Linked DNA regions of Lonchura striata. The protein of the gene in region 1 purifies or fractionates together with the protein of each later gene. This does not show direct contact. Links are inferred from orthologs where the notes say so. Each region holds a gene or a part of one and is shown on either strand. Other genes may lie near its edges.

Evidence for each region.
Region 2: the proteins of non-lysosomal glucosylceramidase (region 1) and HACL2 purify together in Homo sapiens (co-immunoprecipitation; 3 studies listed by BioGRID and IntAct, counting the BioPlex papers as one, with this or other methods). This does not show direct contact. The link is inferred for Lonchura striata from reciprocal best matches to the Homo sapiens genes GBA2 and HACL2.

What each region holds. Positions count from the first base shown.
Region 1 is NC_134642.1:39,647,337-39,659,218, reverse strand, and holds the start of non-lysosomal glucosylceramidase, read left to right. Parts: upstream 1-6,955; 5' UTR 6,956-6,978; coding exon 6,979-7,169; intron 7,170-10,925; coding exon 10,926-11,017; intron 11,018-11,220; coding exon 11,221-11,336; intron 11,337-11,444; coding exon 11,445-11,663; intron 11,664-11,882. Other genes in the region: RGP1 (RAB6A-GEF complex partner protein 2), read right to left, coding at 1,951-2,034, 2,400-2,536, 5,797-5,963. UniProt on the Homo sapiens protein: Non-lysosomal glucosylceramidase that catalyzes the hydrolysis of glucosylceramides/GlcCers (such as beta-D-glucosyl-(1<->1')-N-acylsphing-4-enine) to free glucose and ceramides (such as N-acylsphing-4-enine).
Region 2 is NC_134623.1:2,075,987-2,087,678, reverse strand, and holds the start of HACL2 (2-hydroxyacyl-CoA lyase 2), read left to right. Parts: upstream 1-5,957; 5' UTR 5,958-5,970; coding exon 5,971-6,144; intron 6,145-6,724; coding exon 6,725-6,926; intron 6,927-10,703; coding exon 10,704-10,831; intron 10,832-11,692. UniProt on the Homo sapiens protein: Endoplasmic reticulum 2-OH acyl-CoA lyase involved in the cleavage (C1 removal) reaction in the fatty acid alpha-oxydation in a thiamine pyrophosphate (TPP)-dependent manner. Involved in the phytosphingosine degradation pathway.

The DNA.
Region 1 (11,882 bases):
AACAAGTCATTTTATCAAGAGACAGTCTGGCACAACCTCAGCTGTATGTGCCAGCTCTGGCTGCAGTTTAATAATATGGTATACTGCTGAAGCAGAATTAAATTTTCTTGGGTTTTCTGGTTTGTTTTTTTTTTCCCTTTCCAAACTGCGTAGCAAAACTCAAAACTTCTGAAAAACAGGAAATGAAGATTTAAGATACACACCCACACAGCCTTAACTCTCCCTCCATGGAGCTGGCAGGAGACCCCAGGAATGATCTGCAAATGTGCCAGCTGCAGTCTTGCGTGACAGCAGCAGCACCACTGGCTGATGGGATTGGTGCGAACAGCCTGGCAGGAACGAGACCAGGGCTGTGATACAGGGATTTCAGTGCCAAAAAAGCAGTGCCACATGCAGCCACATCATATGTGATGCCTGAAATAGACAGGTGAATCACACAGTGAAGGGGAAAGGCTGGACCATACAGCCAAAGCAACTCAAAGAATAGAAGAGTTTGTATTGTTCCAGAGGAGCTGTATCCAAGCACCAGGCAGATGCATGCTGCTTGTGCCAGTGCCATCCAGAGGCAGAGAGGACACACACACATCATGATGTTACTGGAAAGCGTAGACAAGCCCTACCTTAGCTGGGGGTTGAACAGCTTCTGCCTGTTAAGCCAGTGCACAGTCAATCCCTCAATCCATCCAGCCATCTGGAACGTGGGCTGTCATCACTAATCTTATCCCAGAAATTGCCCAATCTGCCTGAAGTGTGCCAGGGAAAGGGACTTCACTCTGCTCACAGGGAAGAGATGCTCCAGCCCCAAACATGCAAGTAGCAAGGAACACAGGAGAATCCAAGAGAGCCTCAGGCCAGCTAAGATTTCTGTCTCCTCCTCCTTCCTCCTGTCATGGCCACCTCCTTCCCCCAGCATACTGCTGCAGAATAATAAGTGAATAACTAAACATCTTCAGACAGCAGGCTCTGCAGTTTAGGAGCACAGCCCCAAGATGGCACTGCCCCACCCCACTAACCACCAAGGCAAGCCAGCCTGGTTTCACCAGGTCCACCTTTCCCTCCAGTCAGGCCCCTCAAAAGCCAGAAAGGCAGGAGACACCAGCTTCACAACCAGCATGTCACAACCCCACAGCTGCTTGGTCTCACTTGCAGCTTCACTTCCAGCTCTGCAGAGCTCAGTGATCCAGCAGAGCCTGCCCCACCATAGGCACTGTCTCTCCACTCCCTGTGCTCTGCAGTGTTAGAGTTCTCCATCAGCTGTTCCCAGCAGATCCCTGGGACAATAATAAAGCTCTCCATGCACAGCCTGAGAGGCCTAACATCACTGCTGCTAATCACAGGCCGCTGAAATGCAAAGGAGATCTGACATGATCTGAACAGGCTGGGTCACACAGCCACAAACCAAGAGAGAACAGCGCATACGCAGCTGTTTCCACAGCTATCTACTCAGTGAAGAGCTTTGAGAGAGAAGGTGAGGAGTGCTCACTTTCACAGTAGGAAAATTAGAACATCCAGAAGACTGTTATTTCCAGGACAGCCACAACCTGAAGAAGAGGCATAAACCTTTGGAGGACACCAGCTTAAATTCCAAGAATACACCAGTATGACTGAAGAAATAAAGGCAAGGAAATGCAGGTGTGTAGCCATTTCTCCTGCTGCAACTAGGTATTTCAAAAGTTTTGTGCCATGCAGCTACACAGTGGACCTGCAGCAAAGGCCACAGGCCAGGAGCAGGACTGAGGGACATGCTGCAATACACAGCCCTAGTGCAGCAGAGAACAGACTCTGGATGATGCAGCAGCTCCTCAGCACTCGTGCTCCAACCAAAGCACCCCAGTTTTTGTGAGCATCAGGATGGTACACTTCCAGCACTCAGGTCTGCAAAGCCAGTTTTGTAAGCAGAGCTCCCCAGGTATGAGCTCTGTGAGAAGGGGAAGAGAAGACAGGACTCACAGGACTTCGACTCCCCAGGATCCAGTCGCAAGTCACAGAAGAGGATCTTTGGTGGGGTGGACAGGATACACTGACCCCGCTCTCCTGGAAGAGAATAAAAAATATGTGAATGCTGCACAGCCTCAGGCTGTGTCCAGGTCAGTCAAGCCATCCCCATGGAGAGGAACAGAGAGAAGAGAGCTAAGGAGGAAGCATCTCTTGCCCTGGTCATATTCTGAGACATTGCCACTGCAACTGGACAAACAGCTGTCATGCTTCAATCCAAGATACTGTCACTGTGATTTCAGTATTAACAAGGTCCCACAACATCCATCACCAGGAAAGCAACACAAACTTTGCACTCACTTCTATGCTCACTGCATCAAGACACACACATTATGGTCTGCTTGACTCCTGCTCACTGTGCTCTCACTGTCCCTACCCAGGTGACAGGCAGGAGTGGCACTCACCTCTGTTGGGGACAAAGACGGTCTCATTCTCTGCCTGCACATCATGCTTGCTGCCGTCAGAGGGAGGGAGTGCCACCCGGTTCTCACTGGCATGAAACTGGCAATGGATCTGGGCGCTGGCCCATGCCAGCATCTCACTGAAAGCAAAGAGCAACACTCATATCTCTGCTTTAAACCTGAATTACAGCAGGCAGGAACTGGGAGAAGAGAAACTGTGTCGGCTCAGATCTATGCAGGACTTCTTGTCTGGAAGGAACAAGACTGTGAGAGTGGCTTCACTGTCACTGAAGCTGTTCTCACAGTCCCCTCCAAGCAAGACCTGGAAGTAAGCTCAAACTGGGATGCTGACTCAAAGCCACTTCCACCCCAGCTGCTGACAACAGCTTTACCCAAAGCCTGGCTCTGCAGCCTAAGGACTCTTTTTAAACAGCAATAATTGCAGCCTGAGCCACAACACCATTGGCACAGCCCTGACATGGCAAGAGAAAACACATCTGCCCCAAGAAACATGCTGTACACTCATGACAGAGGACAACAGGCAGCAGAGGTCAGCAGTTCCTATCCCCTGCCATGAGGGCAAGAGACAAGGAGGCTTGTGCAAAACTTCACAGGGATCTTTCAGCCAATATGCTGAGATCAAGTGTTCCAAGATCCAGTTACTCATTTGTTCATCTTTCTCATCATCCACAGACTGGGACTGGCCACTTACTGCACTCTTGGGAGGACAGCATGAGCTGCTGTATGTGGGCCCTAGCAGAAGACTCTTAGCCATGAGGAGTTAAATCCCAAGCCAGAGGTGACACACAGAGCAGCACTCTGGTAACAACACAGCCATTAGGGAAGTGAGCAAATTCTAAAGCAACAAATTCCTGCAACCTGGGTTCAGCCACCCCTGCCCACAGCACAGAGGAGCCCCAAACGCAACACTTCTCAGGACAGGTGGCTACAGACATGCTCCCTCTGGCCTCACAGCACCATCCCCAACAAGAACATCAGCTGCTGTTTGTGCCAAACCAAAGGAGGATGCTGCTGAGTCTTTCATTAGGACCTACTTACTCCTCCTTATGCAAGGACTTTGCTGACGGCAATACGGGAGGCAAAGGTGTAATTTTGACCCCTCTCTGTACAGCCCTAGGAATTAATGTGGGGTCACACATCCAGCACAAAAAACAGTCTCATGTTTTGGACTCTGCTGTGACGTCAGCCATTCCATAGGGCACTTCCCATGGTACCAGTGATACCTTTCAGTTTCCAAATCACTCCTCTACTTTTATTTCAATAGTGGTCTTTATAGTTTAGCCAGTGAATAGTTCCTCTGGTGTTTTCTAACATGATGATATGATTAGTAAGCACCAATAACAGAGCTTTAGGTGGCAGAGGGATTTTTTGTGGCACACGCGTGTCCCTCCACGTGACACATCAGCGTAGTTAAAGGTCTAGATGAGCTAGGGAAAAAGGTGTGCTGTATTTATGTTAGCTGGCTAAGGAATGTGCTATTTGATCTTTTGCATGTGCTGGCTGCCCTTACCCAAACACACCTCAGTTACTATACCAAGTTGCTTTGAGCCCTACAGTTGTAATTCTGCATTTTCCAAAGTACCAGCATGGCTTTTCCATCAGGGTTGCCATATGTTTTTTTGGTGTAAGGTACCTGCTGTTTGGAAGCAGAGAACTGCTCTTGCTTGAGACAATGCTTGTGAATTTTATATAAGCTTAGAGTGATTACAGTACCTTCAAACACCATATTTTGAGGTTTTTTTTCTATTTTTTTTAGTATAGCCTTACAACATGCCACTGGATTGTTTTCATTTTTTCTAGCCAGATGTCCCAACAAAATTTGCATGTCCCTTCCTGCCAGCAGAGCTGGCTTGCTCAGCTAGTGCTTGTTCAGCAGTGGAGGATCCTGCACTGGTGCTGAGGTCACTTCCTTCCAGTCTCACCTTCCCCCACAACTCCTGTAGCCTACAAGGGACATACTCTGTGCAACCTCTGGGTAAAAGAGATTTGTTTTGTGTACTCTACCATCAAATTAATTTCCTGCCTTTCTTTCAAGTCTGTCCAGGTTATGTGGCCTCTCTGTCCCTCCACGTGTCAGCCCCAACACCTTTGCCTGTTGCAGTCACAGTGCTTTGATCTGGCTCCTGCCTTTACACAACCCACAGGTTCATTTTCCAAACCAACAATTTATTTGCTGTTGCCACTTGTTTGACTTAGCCAGGTCTCATCTGATTGATCACTTGGTGCTTTTTTAGTATTTTGAAAACTTTTCTTTTCCAAGAGGCAGTCTTCTACAGATCACAACACATCTGAAGTTTTAAATGAAGCTCTCATAAATGCACTGAAACCTCCGCAAACCACCTGGTACCCTTGCAGTCCAACATGTTTCAGAAGCAGACAAAACACAGGGCATCTTGTCATCAAACAGGACAAAAGTCTGTGAAGCTGGATGCTTATGCCACAGCTGAATTTGAAACCTGATCTCAGCAGTCAAAATGAAACAGGAAGAAAAGATGGAAAGTTAAGGAAGGCAATAAACACAGAAGCCCTGTGCTGCTGAGACTGCAGGCACTGTGAGTGCGCCCACCAAAACAATCACATGTGAACATCATACTGGTGATGAAAACATGCTGAACCTGACAGGGCTGGAAACAGACACTTCCCAGGAAGGACTCAAGATGAGAAAGCACTCTCCACTCCCTAAAGAATCAGACAAGGCCACACACTCAGCGGACATGAAGGCTTTGGGTGATTACTTGTGACATAGAGTCACCCCCTGTGAGCCAATATGGGAAGCTCCCATGCTCTCAATTTCCTCAGCACTGAGAAGGCGAGATGCAGGGCTCAAGGGCTAGGCCACAGAAAATGTGGCCGCAGAAGGTGCCCCTTTCAGACCTGACCATTTGTCTGCCATCTCTGGAGGCAAGGATCATACTGATCTGTCCAGCACTGCTAGATAAAAGAGAGGTCCTTCCACAAATGCAAGAGAAAATAACATTGCCTGGATGTTGCTCTGTGGGATTGTCCCTCTGGTGTGACCAAATAGCCCACTTTGGCAGTCAGGTTGGCTTCCTTTTCTGCTAGTCACTGTCACTGAGGGCTCACCTGAGTGACAGAGAATCTCTAACTGCATACCTCCTTCCTTGCCTACTTACTGGAGGCACAAAACTAGCATAACTACCTCAGCTTCACCCCCAAAATTGAGAGATGATGCAAGGCTTCCTTAAGGGAGTGCCTTGAGTAGGGAAGTCACAAGAGGCTGAGCTGGCACCATTGCCCTACAATGCAGCCATGACTACTACCCCAGAGAGGGGAGAGAGGGTGGGCCACTTCCTCTGGAGAGACCCAGGCAGCTCAACATTTGGAGGCTCTGTGCATGGACTAGCACAGGCTCCTGTACCTGCTAGCAGAGGTCGATGAGGCCGATAATGGGTTGGTGAAGGTGATCACACACTCCAGCACCTCCCCTGCCAGGAACACAGGCCCGCGGCCCAGCTTGGCCAACACTTCGATCATGGCTTGGACAATCCTGCTGCACACCTGCCAAAAATAGCCAACATTGGGCATGTAATCACAGAATCATAGATTCGAGGAATCACAGAACGGTTTGGGGTGGAAGAGCCTTTAAAGACCACCTTGTTCCAGCTCCCCTGCCATGAGGCAGGGACACCTCCCACCAGAGCAGATTGCTTAGGACCCCATCCTGCCTGGCACATTTCCAGGGATAAAGGAACCACAGTTTCTCTGGGGAGCCTGTGCCAGTGCCTCACCACCCTCACAGTAAAGAATTTCTTCTTAATATTTAATCTAAATGTAGTCCTTTTTCAGTTTAAAGCCATTCCCCGTTTTGCTGTCACGGAGACATGGAGAGAGGGCTGGACCACGTAATTGAGGGGGAATGAGGAACACTGATACACACACAGGAGGTGTGGGGGGAAACACGCACAGCCCCGTCTTTACAAACACATACATCTTCCTCCCAGGTCCATACAGGTAAGGAAGCGGGGTCAGGAAACACCGCGACGGTGAGAAGGACAGCCCTGACACCCCAGCCCTGCAGTCCCTAACGTAAACACGCACATGGATAGCTCCACCCGAGGGATCAGGGACACAGGGCCGCAAACTTTCCGCAGCTCCCGCCTCGGGCCCACTCACCACCCGCACAGGCCGCGCTCGCCGTCCGGCACCACTGCAGGCCCGGCTCCCCTCAGCCGCTCGGCGGGAATCGGCAGCGCTCGGGCAGAGTTCGGCAAGACTCGGGCCTAGTTCGGCAAGGCTCGGACCTAGTTCGGCAAGGCTCGGGCAGCGCTCGGGAACTCTCGGCAACACTCGGGCGCGCTCGGTCTTCTCACGGGCAGCTCCCGGACAACGCTCGGCAACTCTCGCACGCCCCTCAGCAGCGCTCGATCAGCGCTCGGCTACTCTCGGAATCTGCTCGGCGGCGCTCGGCCGCGCTCGGCCGGGCAGTCCCGGGAATCGGCGGTGGGGCGGGTCCGTGCTTCCGCCGTGCCCCGGGGGCGCGGGCGGGGCGGGGCGGGGCGGGGCGGTGAAGAAGAGGGCGCGCACGGGGCGGGGGGCGGTGATGGCGGCGGCGGCGGAGACCGTGGAGTCGCCGCTGATGCGGCGCTATGAGGGGGCAGCGCAGGGTCGCGGCGTGGCGGCGGACGGCTGGCGCGTCTGCCTGGCGCACAGCTTCGAGGAGCTGCGGCAGCCCTACGGCGCCGGGGACGTGCCGCTCCGCGATGTCCTGCGGCACGTCGGCCTCGCCTTGAGGTACGGCGGGGGATGGAGGGGGCCGGGAACGCACCGGGACGAGGGAGGGCGTCCCGCGGGGGACACAGCGTTGCGCTGGAGCCACTCGGTTCCGCGGAGGCCTCGCCCCGGGGACGCTCCGGAGATGTCCCGGTGTACGGAGCGGCAGAGCCCGGCGGATCGCGGAAGGCCCCGGGCTGGCGGGAGCCGCCCTCCTACCGCCCGGAGGCGCCGGCACTCTCCAGCCTTCCTGGCGCCGGCACTGCGAGAAATTGGTGCTGAAGTGGCAGCACCAGGCGCTTGGGCTCCTCAAAACAGGGGAGGACTTGGGGCATCGCTTGGGGATGGGGACCCTCATTTTCCACCCCTAGGGCTCATCGCTGCCTCATCCTACCCGGCATAATCCTCAGTGCTGGCAGCTGGAGGTTAACCTTAAGGCTAACTGGGAGGGGTTTGGAACGCTGTGGCAGGTTTGGGAACGGGGCACCTCTCTCGGCTTTGCGTTGGGGTGAGCTGGAAGTAACGACGGAGAGCACGCGTGGAAAGCGAGAGTGTTGTTTTAACCTTTACCACTGGAGTCCGGGCGCTGGCAGTGTGTGCGCTGGGACCGGCGACGGCATTGCTTATTTCCTTGTGCTGGATTTATGACTCCTGCCTCCATTTTCTGTTGGTGTCCTTGGAGGCTGCCGCTTGCCAAGCTGGTTCCTGCAAAGCTGGATGAAAGGGCAGGTTCTGGATTGCTTCGGGGTGCATGCTGGTCTGACCTGAGACACCCCAGTGCGAGCCTGGGCATTGGGGAAGGGAGAGCATGGGTCACACACCTGAGATAAATAAAGGCTGCTGGAAAAGCTGCTGCAGCAGGTTGGGATGAGCTGAGCATGTTGGAAAGCGTGAAGTTCTGGTGGGGTGAGCAGGGAGGAGAGGTGATCCTAGCCTTCTCATTGAAGTCTGGAAGTGCCTTGTATCAGTCAGAAAAGGTCTTTGAAAGCAAGCTTGAAGTTAAAATACTGCCTCTTCTCCTGTTCAAGTTTAGGAGATAATTTGGTTGTTGTCTCAAAGTACTTTTGCCATGGCAAGAACTTGTTTGCGAGGAGGTTCCAGTCACAAGAGCAGAGGAGACAAAGTGCTAGGGTCACAAGAAATATCTGTGTGCTTTTGATTAAAAACCCAAGGCCAACATTATTGGCTCAAAGGGCAGCCCATTCAGGTATGTGAGAATATATGCGAGGCTGCATGCTCCAGGCGTCAGTGGGCATCTCGGTATCTGTGTGACTGGGGCAGCCAACTCATGGAAACATGAATGCAGTTGCTGTGAGAGGAACCCAGAATTCAGTTCTGTGTCATGGTGCAGGGATCTGTGAAGCTCTGTAGATTGGCCTGCCCGGTCCGTAGTGACCTCTGGTGAGTGGTCCCTGTGCCAGGGATGTTCCCAAAACTTGGCACATCTTGATGCATGTAGTGCAAAATCATATGGTGCAGGTGCTTGTAGCCACTGGGAGCGCCTTGGGGTCACTGCACATCTTTGGCTCAGGAGGTCCAGGACTAGCAGAGGAGCCACAACATTGTGAGTTGATGTTGTTGCCTCAAATTAAACATGATGATGGTGCCTTCTTCTGCAGCAACAGCCGTAGGTGTAGGTGACATGGCTGGGGGTGTTGACAGCCCCTGGGGCAAGATTTTTTGTTAATCAGGGCTCATCGGGGTAACTATGGGGGACATGTGCATCTGGAAAGAAAGGGCTGTGCAGAGGGCTCAGCTGGGGCTGGCAAGGCAGGAGAAGAGGTGTAGGTAGGTTTCTGCAGAGGTGGCTCATGTGTCCTGAGAGGGGTCACAGCATGAATCCAGATCAGCTGGGTAATGTTGTTTTAACTCCACTGCCAATTTGAAGGGGAAGAAATGCCCTCCAGCCCTGGCAGGGCTTTTGGTACTACAGAGCACAAAGTCTTTCTCCTTGTTATTCTTCAGCCCTGGCAGAGCTGTTAATACCCAGCAATTGGGAACTGGGCTTCTTCTCTTGGCTTGCGTGATTTTGGGAGAAACTTGCATGAGAAGAGTTTGCATATTGAGATGGTAAAATTACTTTGGCAGTGGCAATAAATCTCAAAGTTTTTCTACTGTGTTCTCTATAAAAACTGCTTCTTGAAATCCATCTCCTGCCTCCTTTCCAAGAAGTCAGGATGCCCCGCTAGGCTGTGCTGCAGTCATTCTGCCTGAGCACCTTATTTCCTGATGCCAGAAGCCTGCTGGGGAAGCAGCTGCGTTGGTTCCCTGCTGCTGGGTTGAAAAAGAATATTAATAATTTCCTTGAGAGAGAGAGAGCACTGCCAAAACCTTGCCTTGGCAGGGTAAGGCTGGGACTGTCCTGTCTGGAGAAGAGCAGTTGTAGCAGATATAGCTGGAAGATAGTGGCAGGCCCTGGTTCAGGGCAGTCAAGCAGGACAGGCTGGTTCTCATCATGCCGTGAACTGTGAGCAAAGCATCCACAGACAGTCAAACACAAAGCTGAGTCTGTAGGAGTGGAGAGCAGGCTGCAGTTAGGTCCTGTGGGATTGCAGCCCAGAAAATCTCACCCTCTGAGGGATTTGGGGACCTTAGATGTTGGTGAATAAAGGTGAATGCCCAGTGAGCAGCCGAAAAGTCAACTGTGACTTGTTTCTGTTTGGGAAGCATAGTAGTAGAGGTGTCATAGAAGAGCCTCTCCCCCTTGCTCCTGGGTGTACATGTCCCAGGGGATTATTGCTCATTGCCCATCACCTGTGCTCTGCATCCTGTGCAACCAGGGGCAGGACAGGCTGTGTGCTCCTGGTTTTCTGCTCAGCAATATGGCATGGGTGTCTGGAGGTAGCTCAGGGACATTGCTCACTGTGGGTGCTCCTGTGTCCCCCCTGTCCACCTGGCACCCAGGGCCATGGAGCTGCCAGCTGGGCCTTACCTGACTGTTTGCTGGGCAAGGTTCAGCAGCTTCTGGTCTGGTAGCTGGTTTCCGTGTGCTAATTGTCTCTGTATAGAAGGCTTAACTTGGGGCAGTTAATTAGCCAAAGCCAGTACTTTACAAGCATTGACTCAGAGCCCATCCCTGCTCCTCTTGCCTGGAGTGGTGCTGGCATACCCTGTTGCAGGTGTGCCCCTGTTTGGGTGTCTTGATTCCCAGACCTTTAGGTGAGAAATTGTCTGATGGGCCGTGCTGGTCTGCGCAGCTGGTGTGCAGGTGGAGGCAAGTCCCCAGGATCCTGCCAGCTGCAGACAGCAACCATCACCACTTCCAGGGTAAGGCTGCCCTGTGCCCTCTGCTCCCGATGATGTGGCACAGGGATGTGGTAATGTATGGCAATGGGGAAGTGCAGGTAGAACAGCAAGGCTTGTGTCTCTGGAGCAGTGTGTGTCTCCTCTGGGTTTGCACCTCTGCTTGCAGGTCTGCCTTAGCAGGACACTGTGTACCAGGCACAGAGGTGGTGGTGGCCCTTGTGTGCATTCCCACTTCTCCATGAGTGTCTGGGAAAGCCTGTGCTACATGAGCTGGGAGTCCTGCTCCTGAGTTGCCCTTGCTGTCAGTCCTTAGCTGCCTGAACTTAGCCTGCTTGTGTTTGCTGAGTGATGCATGCTCCAGATGGGTGGTAGAGCCTTGTCACCCCTTGTGCCATGGGCACGGGGACATATGTTCCTGTTGTACATCTCTACAAGGAGGGAAAGCTCAACCTATGCTCATCCTGCCCAGTGACACTGGAGGGACGGTGTTGCCTGTTCCTGACTTCTTCAATATTTCTCTTTCCCTTGCAGATACTTCAGGTGGTGGGTCAAGAAGACCTGCATAGAGAAGAAAACAGCCTTCATTGACCTCTTGTGTGCAGTTCCTCTGCAGCAGATCTATGGTCAGCCTCCACACTGGGCACTGGGGTGGGCAGGGATTCACATGGGGATATCGGGGTGCTCCATGGAATGAGTGAGTCAAGAAGCTTTTCTGATTTGGGGGATACTGAGTGGCTCTCCCCTGCAGAGATGCATGGGGAGAGTTCTTTAGCCAGGTACCACCTGGGGGAGGAATGGGGGTGCTAACTATTGGTGTCTTTGCCAGGGTGCCCGCTGGGCGGGATCGGGGGAGGCACCATCACCCGCGGCTGGCGGGGAGAGTTCTGCCGCTGGCAGCTGAACCCTGGCCTTTACAACTATGATACAGTCATCGCCAATCAGGTAGGGTCAGTGAGGGGGGGTGAGAGTCACTGCAGCAGCCTGGGCAGCTGAGACATCTGCCACAGGGCTCATCTCATCCCCTGCACATGCTCCTCTTCTCCTCCACAGTTCACAGTGTGCCTGCGGTGCAAGGGGCAAACCATTTACCAGCAGGTCTTGTCCATGGAGAGACCCAGCAGCCTGCAGGGCTGGAACTGGGGCTACTGCGGCCACTACGCCTTTTACCATGCCCTGTACCCCCGCGCCTGGCTGGTCTACGAGCTGCCGGGGCAGCAGGTGGTGCTCACCTGCCGGCAGGTCTCTCCCGTCATCCCCCATGACTATAAGGTAAGGCGGTGAGGGCATCCCCGAGGGCAGAGCTGCGTTTCCCCAGGCTTTGCCGGCGTTTCCCCACGGCTGTGCTCTGCAGTGGTCCGGGCAGGGGAAGCCCCACAGCCGTGCGGGAGCTCGGGATTGCAGCAAGGGATGGCTCAGCGCTGCCCGTGCCGGCTGGCAGCCCCAGGCGAGGGTGGCAGCTGTGCTGCTGACACGTCTGACCTTCCTCTT
Region 2 (11,692 bases), on another chromosome or scaffold:
GACAGCGGGGACAGCGGGGAGGGGACCGGGGACAGCGGGGAGGGGACACGGTGACATCAGGGAAAGGACCGGGGACAGCGGGGACAGCGGGGAGGGGACCGGGGACAGCGGGGAGGGGACACGGGAGGGGACACGGTGACATCAGGGAAAGGACCGGGGACACGGGGACACGGGGAGGGGACACGGTGACATCAGGGAAAGGACCGGGGACACGGGGAGGGGACACGGGAGGGGACACGGGAGGGGACAGCGACATCGGGGAGGGGACAGCGGGGAAAGGATCGGGATGGGGACATGGGGACAGCGGGGAGGGGACAGCGGTGACATCAGGGAAAGGACCGGGGACAGCGGGGACAGCGGGGAGGGGACACGGGGAGGGGACACGGTGACATCAGGGAAAGGACCGGGGACACGGGGAGGGGACATCGGGAAGGGGACACGGTGACATCACGGAAGGGACAACGGGGAGGGGACAGCGGTGACATCGGGGAAATGACCGGGGACAGCGGGGAGGGGACCCAAATACCTCCAAAATAACCCACAAACCTCCCAAAATGGAACCCCAAAAAAAACCCCAAAACCCCCCAAAATGGGACCCAAAAAACCCTAACCCCCCCCCCCCAAAAATGGGATCCCACAAAAATACCCCAAAATGGGACCCAAAAAACCCCAAAACCCCAGAATGGAACCCCAAAAAACTCCAAAACCCCAAAATGGGACCCAAAAAACTCCCCAAACCCCCCAGAATGGGACCCCAAAAAACCCCCACAAACCTTCCAAAATGGAACCCCCAAAAAACTCCAAACCTCCCAAAAAAACCCCAAAACCCCCCCAAAATGGGACCCGCAAAAAACTCCAACCCCCCCCAAATGGGACCCCAAAAAAACCCCAAAATGGGACCCCCAAAAAAACCCCAAAAATCCCCAAAATGGGACCCCCAAAAAACCCCAAAATGGGACCCAAAAAACTCCAAAATGGGACCCAAAAAAACCTCAAAAAACCCCAAAATGGGACCCCCAAAAAACCCCAAACCCCCAAAAAAACCCAACCTCCCCCCAAAATGGGATCCCACAAAAAAAAACCCCAAAAAAAACCCGAAAAGGGACCAAAAAAACCCCAAAAAAACCCCAAAATGGGACCCAAAAAACCCCAAAATGGGACCCAAAAAACCCCAAAACCCCCCAAAAATAGGGAGGGGACACCGGGGGGGTTGGGGACACTCCGGGGGTGGCACCGGGGTGGCGACAAGGTGACACCGGGGGCGGGGGGACACCGGGGAGGGATTTTGGGAATTTTGGGATTTTTGGGATTTTGGGGACCCTCCCGGCCGTGACGTCACGGATGGGAAGTGTCCCCAAGTGTCCCTCCCAAAAAAGGGAATCCCAAAAAAAGCACAAACCCGCCCCCAAAAAAAGAGACCGCAAAAAAAAACCCCAAAATCCCCAAAATGGGAACGGCAAAAAAAACCCAAAATGGGACCCCAAAAAAACCCAAAATGGGACCCCCCCAAAAGAACCCCAATGAGACCCCAAAAAACCCAAACCCCACAGAATTGGACCCCCAAAAACAAAAAAAAAACCAAAATGGGACCCCCAAAATATCCAAAATGGGACCCCAAAAACCCCAAACCCCACAAAAAGGGACCTCCCCAAAAAGGACCTAAAAAATCCCAAAATTCCCAAAATGGGACCCCCAAAAAAATCCAAAATAAGACCCCAAAAAACCCCAAAATGGGACCCAAAAAAACCCCAAAGCCCCCCCCAAAAAACACCAAATCCCCTAAAATGGGACCCCCAAAGAAACCAAAATCCCCAAGAAGGGACCCCCCCAAAATCCCAAAATGGGCCCCAAAAAAAACCCCAAACCCCTCCAAAATGGGGACCCCTAAAAAACCCAAATCCCCCAAAATGAGAACCCCCAAATACTCCCAAGCCCCCCAAAAATGGGAACCCAAAAAAACCCAAAATTGGGACCCCCAAAACTCTAAAATCCCCCCAAAAATGGACCTCAAAATTCCCAAAAATGGGACCCCAAAAAGCCCAAAAATCCCCCCAAAAATGGGACCCCAAAAAACCCCAAAACCCCCAAAAATGGGACCCCAAAAGATGGACCTCAAAAAACTCCAAAATCCCCCCAAAAAACCCCAAAATCCCCCAAAAATGGACCCCAAAGCCCCCCAAAATGGAACCCCCAAAATGGACCCCAAAAAACCCCAAAATCCCCCCCAAAATGGACCCCCAAAACCCCCAAAATCCCCCCAAAAATGGACCCCCAAAACCCCCAAAATCTCCCCAAAAATGGACTCCAAAGACTCCAAAACCCCCAAAAATGGGACCCCCAAAAAATGGACCCCAAAAAACTCCAAAATCCCCCCCAAAATGGACACCAAAACCCCCCATAAAAAGACTCCAAAAATGGACCTCAAAAAACCCCAAAACCCCCCCAAAAATGGGACCCCAAAAATCCCAAAATCCCCCAAAAATGGGACCCCAAAAAAACCCCGAAATCTCCCCAAAAATGGACCCCAAAACCCCCCAAATCTCCCCAAAATCCCCAAAAATGGGACCCCAAAAAACCCCAAAATCCCCCAAAAATGGGACCCCAAAAAAACCCCGAAATCTCCCCAAAAATGGACCCCAAAACCCCCCAAATCTCCCCAAAATCCCCAAAAATGGGACCCCAAAAATCCCAAAATCCCCCAAAAATGGGACCCCAAAAAAACCCCGAAATCTCCCCAAAAATGGACCCCAAAACCCCCCAAATCTCCCCAAAATCCCCAAAAATGGGACCCCAAAAATCCCAAAATCCCCCAAAAATGGGACCCCAAAAAAACCCCGAAATCTCCCCAAAAATGGACCCCAAAACCCCCCAAATCTCCCCAAAATCCCCAAAAATGGGACCCCAAAAAATGGGATCCCAAAAATCCCAAAAATCCCCCCAAAAGTGGACCCAAAAACCCCCAAAATCCCCCCAAAATCCGGGTCCCCTGGCCCCGCCCCTTTCCCGCCCTTTCCCTTTAGCCACGCCCCTTTCCCCGCCCACCAATCCCCGCCCCGCCTGGCGGCGCACGCCCGTGACGTCACCACGCAACCCGGAAGCGAGCACTTCCGGGTGCGGCAGGTGAGGGGAGGCGGGGGGGGGGGGGGGAGGAGATTTGGGGACAATTTTGGGGGATTTGGGACAATTTTGGGACAATTTTGGGGGTTTGGAGACATTTGGGGACACCTGCGGGGGGTTGGGGACATTTGGGGGGAGTTTGGGACAATTTTGGGGCAATTCTGGGGGGCTTGGGACAATTTTGGGGGGATTTGGGGACAATTTATGGACAGTTTTGGGGGGATTTGGGACAATTTTGGGGCAATTTTGGGGGGATTTGGGACAATTTTGGGACAATTTTGGGGGGATTTGGGACAATTTGAGGACAATTTTTGGACAATTTGGGGGGGTTGGGACAATTTTGGGGGGATTTGGGACAATTTTGGGGCAATTTTTGGACACTTTTGGGGATTTGGGACAATTTGGGGGGATTTGGGGACATTTGGGGGGATTTGGGGACAATTTTGGGACAATTTTGGGGGATTTGAGACAATTTTGGGGGTTGGGCCAATTTTGGGAGATTTGGGGCAATTTTGGGACAATTTTTGGACACTTTTGGGGAGATTTGGGGCAATTTTGGGGGGATTTGGGATAATTTTGGGGAGTTTGGGACAATTTGGGGACATTTTTGGGGGTTTGGGGACACCTCAGGGGTGGCCTTGGGGACGGGGCTGATTTTTGCCCCCAAATTTTGGAATTTTTGCCCAAAATTTTGACATTTTCAGCCAAAAATGGCCCCAAATTTGGGATTTGTCCCCCAAATTTGGGGGATTTTACCTCAAATTTTGGGATTTTTGCCCCAAATTTGGAGATTCTTGCCCCAAAATTGGGATTTCCATCCAAAATTCAAGTTTTTGCCCCAAATTTGGGAAATTTTACCCCAAATTTGGGATTTTTGCCCCACATTTTAGGATTTAGGCTGAAAATTCGGAAATTTCTGCCCTAAATTTTGGGATTTTTGTCCCAAAATTGGGATTTTTACCCCAAATTTGGGAATTTTTAACCCAAATTTGGGATTTTTTCCCCAATTTGGGAATTTTTACACCAAATTTGGGATTTTTTTGCCCCAAAATTGGAATTTTCATCCCAACTTTGGGCATTTTTACCCCAAACTTTGGCAATTTTGCCCCAAAATTGGGATTTTTGCCCCAAACTTCAGAATTTTTACCCCAAATTTTGGAGTTTTGCCCCAAATTTGGGGATTTTTTTGCTCAAAATGTTGGGAAATTTCTGCCCCAAATTTGGGGATTTTTGCCCAAAATTTCAGGAATTTTCCCCCGAATTTTGGATTTTTGCCCCAAATTTTGGATTTTTGCCCCAAATTTGGAATTTTTGCCCCAAATTTGGAATTTTTGCCCCAAATTTTGGGATTTTCAGCCACAATTTGGGGATTTTGCCCCAAATTTTGGATCTTCGGGGGGGGCGGGGCCTCGTTAGGGGTAATTGGGGCTCTGTCATTATGCAAATGAGCAGCGTCCTTATGCATATGTATGCAAATGAGCATCTGATTATGCAAATTGTGTGGGCGGGGTGTGGGAACCTGGAGGAGCCGGGACTGGTTAGACTGGGTTTAATTAATGCGGGGTTTAATTAATCCTGATCTTAATTAATCCTGAGCTTAATTAATTCACTCTGATTAATTAAGATGGGCTCAATTTATCCAGAGTTTAATTAATTCAGATTTTAATTAATCCAGTCTAATTAATTAAACTGTGTTCTGTTAATCCAGAGTTCAATTAATCCAGAGTTTAATTAATTCAGAGTTTAATAAATCCAGTCTAATTAATTAAATAGGGTTCAAATAATCCAGAGTTTAATTAATCCCGATCTTAATTAATCCAGTCTAATTAATTAAATAGGGTTCAAATAATCCAGAGTTTAATTAATCCCGATCTTAATTAATCCAGTCTAATTAATTAAATTGGGTTCCATTTATCCAGAGTTCAGTTAATCCAGAGTTTAATTAATCCAATCTAATTAATTAAACTGGATTCAGTTAACCCAAGGTTTCATTAATCCAGAGTTTAATTAATCCTGTCTGATTAATTAAATTGGGTTCAATTAAGCCAGAGTTTCATTATTTGGAATTTGAGTAACCCAGAGTTTCATTAATCTTGAATTTAATTAATCCAGAGTTTAATTAACCCAATCTAATTAATTAAACTGGGTTCAGTTAACCCAGAGGTTCATTAATCCAGAGTTAATTAACCCGGCCTAATTAATTACATGGGTTCAATTCATTCCTTGTCCTTCCTGGTGGCCCCAAAGTTCTCCTGGTGTCCTCAAGGTTCTCCTGGTGTCCCCAAGGTTCTCCTGGTGTCCCCAAGGTCCCCATGGTGGCCCCAAGGTTCTCCTGGTGGCCCCAAGGTCCCCATGGTGGCCCCAAGGTTCTCCTGGTGGCCCCAAGGTTCTCCTGGTGTCCCCAAGGTCCCCATGGTGGCCCCAAGGTTCCCATGGTGTCCCCAAGGTTCTCCTGGTGTCCCCAAGGTTCTCCTGGTGTCCCCAAGGTCCCCATGGTGTCCCCAAGGTTCCCATGGTGGCCCCAAGGTTCTCCTGGTGTCCCCAAGGTCCCCATGGTGGCCCCAAGGTCCTCATGGTGGCCCCAAGGTCCTCATGGTGGCCCCAAGGTTCTCCTGGTGGCCCCAAGGTCCCCATGGTGTCCCCAAGGTCCCCATGGTGGCCCCAAGGTCCCCATGGTGGCCCCAAGGTTCTCCCGGTGGCCCCAAGGTTCTCCTGGTGGCCCCAAGGTTCCCATGGTGGCCCCAAGGAGTTCTGATGGCCCTGGAGGTCTCCGCGGTGGCCCCAAAGTTCTCACGGTGGCCCCAAGGAGTTCCTGATGGCCCTGGAGGTCTCTACGGTGTCCCCAAGGTTCCCATGGTGGCCCTGGAGGTCCCTGTGGTGTCCCCAAGGTTCTCCTGGTGGCCTTGTTCTCTTGCAGCTCCTGCCATGGACTTGGTGGCCGGGCTGGTGGCCCTGGTGGCCCTGGTGGCCCTAACCCTGCTGGTGGTGGCCCAGAGGCTCGGGATGTTCTACCGCATCTTCCACAAGGTCTGGGGACACCTGGGGACATTGGGGACATCAGGGGGACATTGGGGACACTGGTGGGGTGGAGAACATTGGGACAGGTGGCATGGAGAACACTGGGACAGGTTGGATGGAGAACATCAAGGACAGGTGACACCGGTGGGATGGAGAACATCTGGGACAGGTGGGATGGAGAACACTGGGACAGGTTGGATGGAGAACATCAAGGACAGGTGACACCAGTGGGATGGAGAACATCTGGGACAGGTGGGATGGAGAACACTGGGACAGGTGACACCAGGCATGGAGAACATTGGGACAGGTGACACCAGGCATGGAGAACATGAAGGACAGGTGGGGTGGAGAACATGAAGTACAGGTGGGATGGAGAACATCAAGGATGGGTGGGATGGAGAACATCAGGGACAGGTGTCACCAGGGATGGAGAACATCAGGAACAGGTGTCACCGGTGGGGATGGAGAACATTGGGGACAGGTGGGATGGAGAACATCAAGGACAGGTTGCACCAGTGGGATGGAGAACATCAGGGATAGGTGACACCGCTGTCACCTCTGACCTCCTGGTGGCCCCGTGGTGGCCCAGGTGGACACGACGAGTCCCCGTCACGGTGGCGAGCTGGTGGCCGAGGTCCTGCGGGCCCACGGCGTCCAGTTCATCTTCACGCTGCCCGGTGGCCACATCTCGCCCGTGCTGGTGGCCTGCGAGAAGATCGGCATCCGCGTGGTGGACACGCGCCACGAGGCCACCGCCGTCTTCGCCGCCGACGCCGTCTCACGCCTCTCGGGTCAGCTCTGGTGGCATCTCGGGGGGGTTTGTCCCCAGCTGTCCCCAAGGGGTGGAGGTGGCCCCATGGCTGACATCTCCAGAGGGTTTTGGGTGTCCCACCTTGGTGGACCTTGGGTGACCTGAGCGGGTTTTGGGATGTCCAGGGTGGGATTCGTCCCCCTTTGTCCCCATCTGTCCCCAAGGGATGGAGGTGGCCCCATGGCCGACATCTCCAGGGGGTTTTGGAGGCCCACCTGGGTGGGTCTTGGTTGACCTGAGAGGGTTCCAGGATCTTGGGATGTCCAGGGTGGGATTTGTCCCCATCTGTCCCCAAGGGATGGAGGTGGCCCCATGGCTGACATCTCCAGAGGGTTTGGGTGTCCCACCTGGGTGGGTCCTGAGAAGCTTCAGGGCTGTGGCAGGGTGGGATTTGTCCCCATTTGTCCCCTCCTGGATCAAATCCATCCTTTGGCCACCTTGGAGCCATCTTGGTGCTTCCATGATGTCATCTCGCCACCATCTTGGTGCCATCTTGGTGCCATCATGGAGCCACCTTGGTGCCACCTTGATGTGACCTTGGAGCCACCTTGGTACCACCTTGATGTCATCTTGGTGCCACCTTGGAGTCATATTGGTACCACCATGATGTCACCTTGGAGCCACCTTGGCGCCATCTTGGAGCCGTCTTGGAGCCATCATGGTGCCATCTTGGCACCATCTTGGTGACATCTTGGTGCCACCATGGAGCCACCTTGGTGCCACCCTGATGTCCCCTCAGTGTCCCCTCGGTGCCACCTTGGAGCCACCTATGCGCCATCTTGGCACCATCTTGAAGCCATATTGATGCCATGTTGGCGCCATTTTGGTGCCACCATGATGTCATCTTGGCGCCATCTTGAAGCCATCTTGGCGCCATCTTGGCGCCATCTTGGTGCCACCTTGGTGCCATCTTGACGCCATCTTGGTGCCACCATGCAGCCATCTTAGTGCCATCTTGACATCATCTTGGTGCCACCATGATGTCACCTTGGTGCCACCTTGGAGACACCTTGGAGGCATCTTGGTACCATCTCGGTGCCATCTTGGTGCCACGTTGGCGCCATTTTGGTGCCACCATGATGTCAACTTGGCGCCCTCTTGAAGCCATCTTGGCGCCACCTTGGCACCATCTTGGTGCCACCTTGGAGCCATCTTGGTACCATGTTGGTGCCATGTTGGCGCCATTTTGGTGCCACCATGATGTCATCTTGGCGCCATCTTGAAGCCATCTTGGTGCCATTTTGAAGCCATCTTGGTGCCACCATGCAGCCATCTTGGCGCCATCTTGACATCATCTTGGTGCCACCTTGAAGGCATCTTGGTGCCATGTTGGTGCCATTTTGGCGCCACCATGATGTTGGAGCCACTTTGGTGCCATCTTGGTGATACCTTGGTGCCATCATGGTGCCACCTTGGTGCCATCATGATGCCATCTTGGTGACACCTTGGAGCTACCTTGGAGCCATCTAGGTGCCATTTTGACGCCATCTTGGTGCCACCTTGGATCCACCTTGGAGCCATCTTGGCGCCATCTTGAAGCCATATTGGCGCCATCTTCACCCCATCTTGGTGCCATCCTGGCGCCATTTTGATGCCCCCATGATGTCATCTTGGAGCCACTTTGGTGCCATCTTGGTGACACCTTGGTGCCATCATGGTGCCATCTTGGTGCCATCTTGAAGCCACCTTGGTGCCACCTTGGTGCCACCATGGAGCCATCTGGGTGCCACATTAGTGCCACCTTGGAGCTACCTTGGTGCCATCTTGGTGCCATCATGCTGCCATCTTGGCGCCATCTTGACATCATCTTGGTGCCACCATGATGTCACCTTGGTGCCATCTTGGTGCCATATTGACGCCATCTTGGTGCCACCTTGGCGCCATTTTGAAGCCACCTTGGTGCCACCATGCAGCCGTCTTGGCGCCATCTTGACGTCATCTTGGTGCCACCATGATGTCACCTTGGGGCCATCTTGGTGCCATATTGACCCCATCTTGGTGCCACCTTGGCGCCATATTGGAGACATCTTGGAGCCATCATGATGCCATATTGGTGCCACCTTGGCACCATCTTGAAGCCATATTGACGCCATCTTGGTGCCACCTTGGTGCCATTTTGAAGCCACCTTGGCGCCACCATGCAGCCGTCTTGGTGCCACCTTGGCACCATCTTGAAGCCATATTGACGCCATCTTGGTGCCACCTTGGCGCCATTTTGAAGCCACCTTGGCGCCACCATGCAGCCGTCTTGGCGCCATCTTGACATCATCTTGGTGCCACCATTATGTCACCTTGGGGCCATCTTGGTGCCATATTGACGCCATCTTGGTGCCACCTTGGCGCCATTTTGAAGCCACCTTGGCGCCACCATGCAGCTGTCTTGGCGCCATCTTGACGTCATCTTGGTGCCACCATGATGTCACCTTGGGGCCACCTTGGCGCCATTTTGAAGCCACCTTGGTGCCACCATGCAGCCATCTTGGCGCCATCTTGACATCATCTTGGTGCCCCCATGATGTCACCTTGGGGCCATCTTGGTGCCATATTGACGCCATCTTGGTGCCACCTTGGCGCCATATTGGAGACATCTTGGAGCCATCATGATGCCATATTGGTGCCACCTTGGCACCATCTTGAAGCCATATTGACGCCATCTTGGTGCCACCTTGGTGCCATTTTGAAGCCACCTTGGCGCCACCATGCAGCCGTCTTGGCGCCATCTTGACATCATCTTGGTGCCACCATGATGTCACCTTGGGGCCACCTTGGCGCCATTTTGAAGCCACCTTGGCGCCACCATGCAGCCGTCTTGGCGCCATCTTGACATCACCTTGGTGCCATATTGACGCCATCTTGGTGCCACCATTATGTCACCTTGGGGCCATCTTGGTGCCATATTGACGCCATCTTGGTGCCACCTTGGCGCCATTTTGAAGCCACCTTGGCGCCGCCATGCAGCCGTCTTGGCGCCATCTTGACATCACCTTGGTGCCACCATGATGTCACCTTGGGGCCATCTTGGTGCCATATTGACGCCATCTCGGCGCCACCTTGGCGCCATATTGGAGACATCTTGGAGCCATCATGATGCCATATTGGTGCCACCTTGGCACCATCTTGAAGCCATATTGACGCCATCTTGGTGCCACCTTGGCGCCATTTTGAAGCCACCTTGGCGCCACCATGCAGCCGTCTTGGCGCCATCTTGACATCATCTTGGTGCCCCCATGATGTCACCTTGGGGCCATCTTGGTGCCATATTGACGCCATCTTGGTGCCACCTTGGCGCCATTTTGAAGCCATCTTGGTGCCATATTGACGCCATCTTGGCGCCACCTTGGCGCCATATTGGAGACATCTTGGAGCCATCATGGTGCCATATTGGTGCCACCTTGGCACCATCTTGAAGCCATATTGACGCCATCTTGGTGCCACCTTGGCGCCATTTTGAAGCCACCTTGGCGCCACCATGCAGCCGTCTTGGCGCCATCTTGACATCACCTTGGTGCCATATTGACGCCATCTTGGTGCCACCTTGGCGCCATATTGACGCCATCTTGGTGCCACCTTGGCGCCATTTTGAAGCCACCTTGGCGCCACCATGCAGCCATCTTGGCGCCATCTTGACATCACCTTGGTGCCACCATGACGCCATCTTGGTGCCACCTTGGTGCCACCTTGGGGCCACCTTGGAGCCCCCTGGGTGTCCCCTGGGTGCCCCCCGGGTGTCCCCTGGGTGCCAGCGCTGTCCCCGCAGGCCGCATCGGCGTGGCGGTGGTGACGGCGGGTCCCGGGGTCACCAACGCGGTGACGGCCGTGAAGAACGCGCAGATGGCCGAGTCGCCGCTGCTGCTGCTGGCCGGGGCGGCCGCCCGGCTGCAGAAGGTGGGAGCCGGGCCCGGGCCCCGATTCCCGAATTCCCCAAATCCCGAAATCCCCAATTCCCAAAATCCCCAATTCCCAAAATACCCCAATTCCCAAATCCCGAAATCCCCAATTCCTGAAATCCCAAAATCCCCAATTCCTGAAATCCCAAAATCCCCAATTCCTGAATTCCCCAATTCCCAAAATCCCCAATTCCTGAATTCCCAAAATCCCCAATTCCTGAATTCCCCAATCCCCTGAATTCCCAAATTCTCAAATTCCCATATCCTGAATTCCCAAATTCCCCAAATCCCGAATTCCAGAATTCCCAAATTCCCTTTGCCATTCCCAAATTCCCATTCCCAAATTCCCGAATTCCCTTTGCCATTCCCAAATTCCCAATTCCCATTCCCAATTCCCTTTGCCATTCCCCATTCCCCATTCCCCAATTCCCATTCCCCAATTCCCGACTAATTCCGGAATTCCCGGATCATTCCAGGGCCGCGGGGCCCTGCAGGCGGAGCCGCAGCTGCCGCTGCTCCTGAATTCCCCAATTCCCTTTGCCATTCCCCAATTCCCATTCCCATTCCCAAATTCCCGACTAATTCCCGACTAATTCCCGAATAATTCCAGGGCCGCGGGGCTCTGCAGGCGGTGCCGCAGCTGCCGCTGTTCTCCCCAATTCCCTTTCCCATTCCCCTTTTCCCATTCCCAAATTCCCATTCCCAAATTCCCATTGCCATTCCCAAATTCCCGACTAATTCCGGAATTCCCTAATAATTCCAAGCCCGCGGGGCTCTGCAGGCGGAGCTGCAGCTGCCGCTGCTCCCGAATCCCCAATTCCCTTTGCCTTTCCCCATTCCCTTTCCCCAATTCCCATTC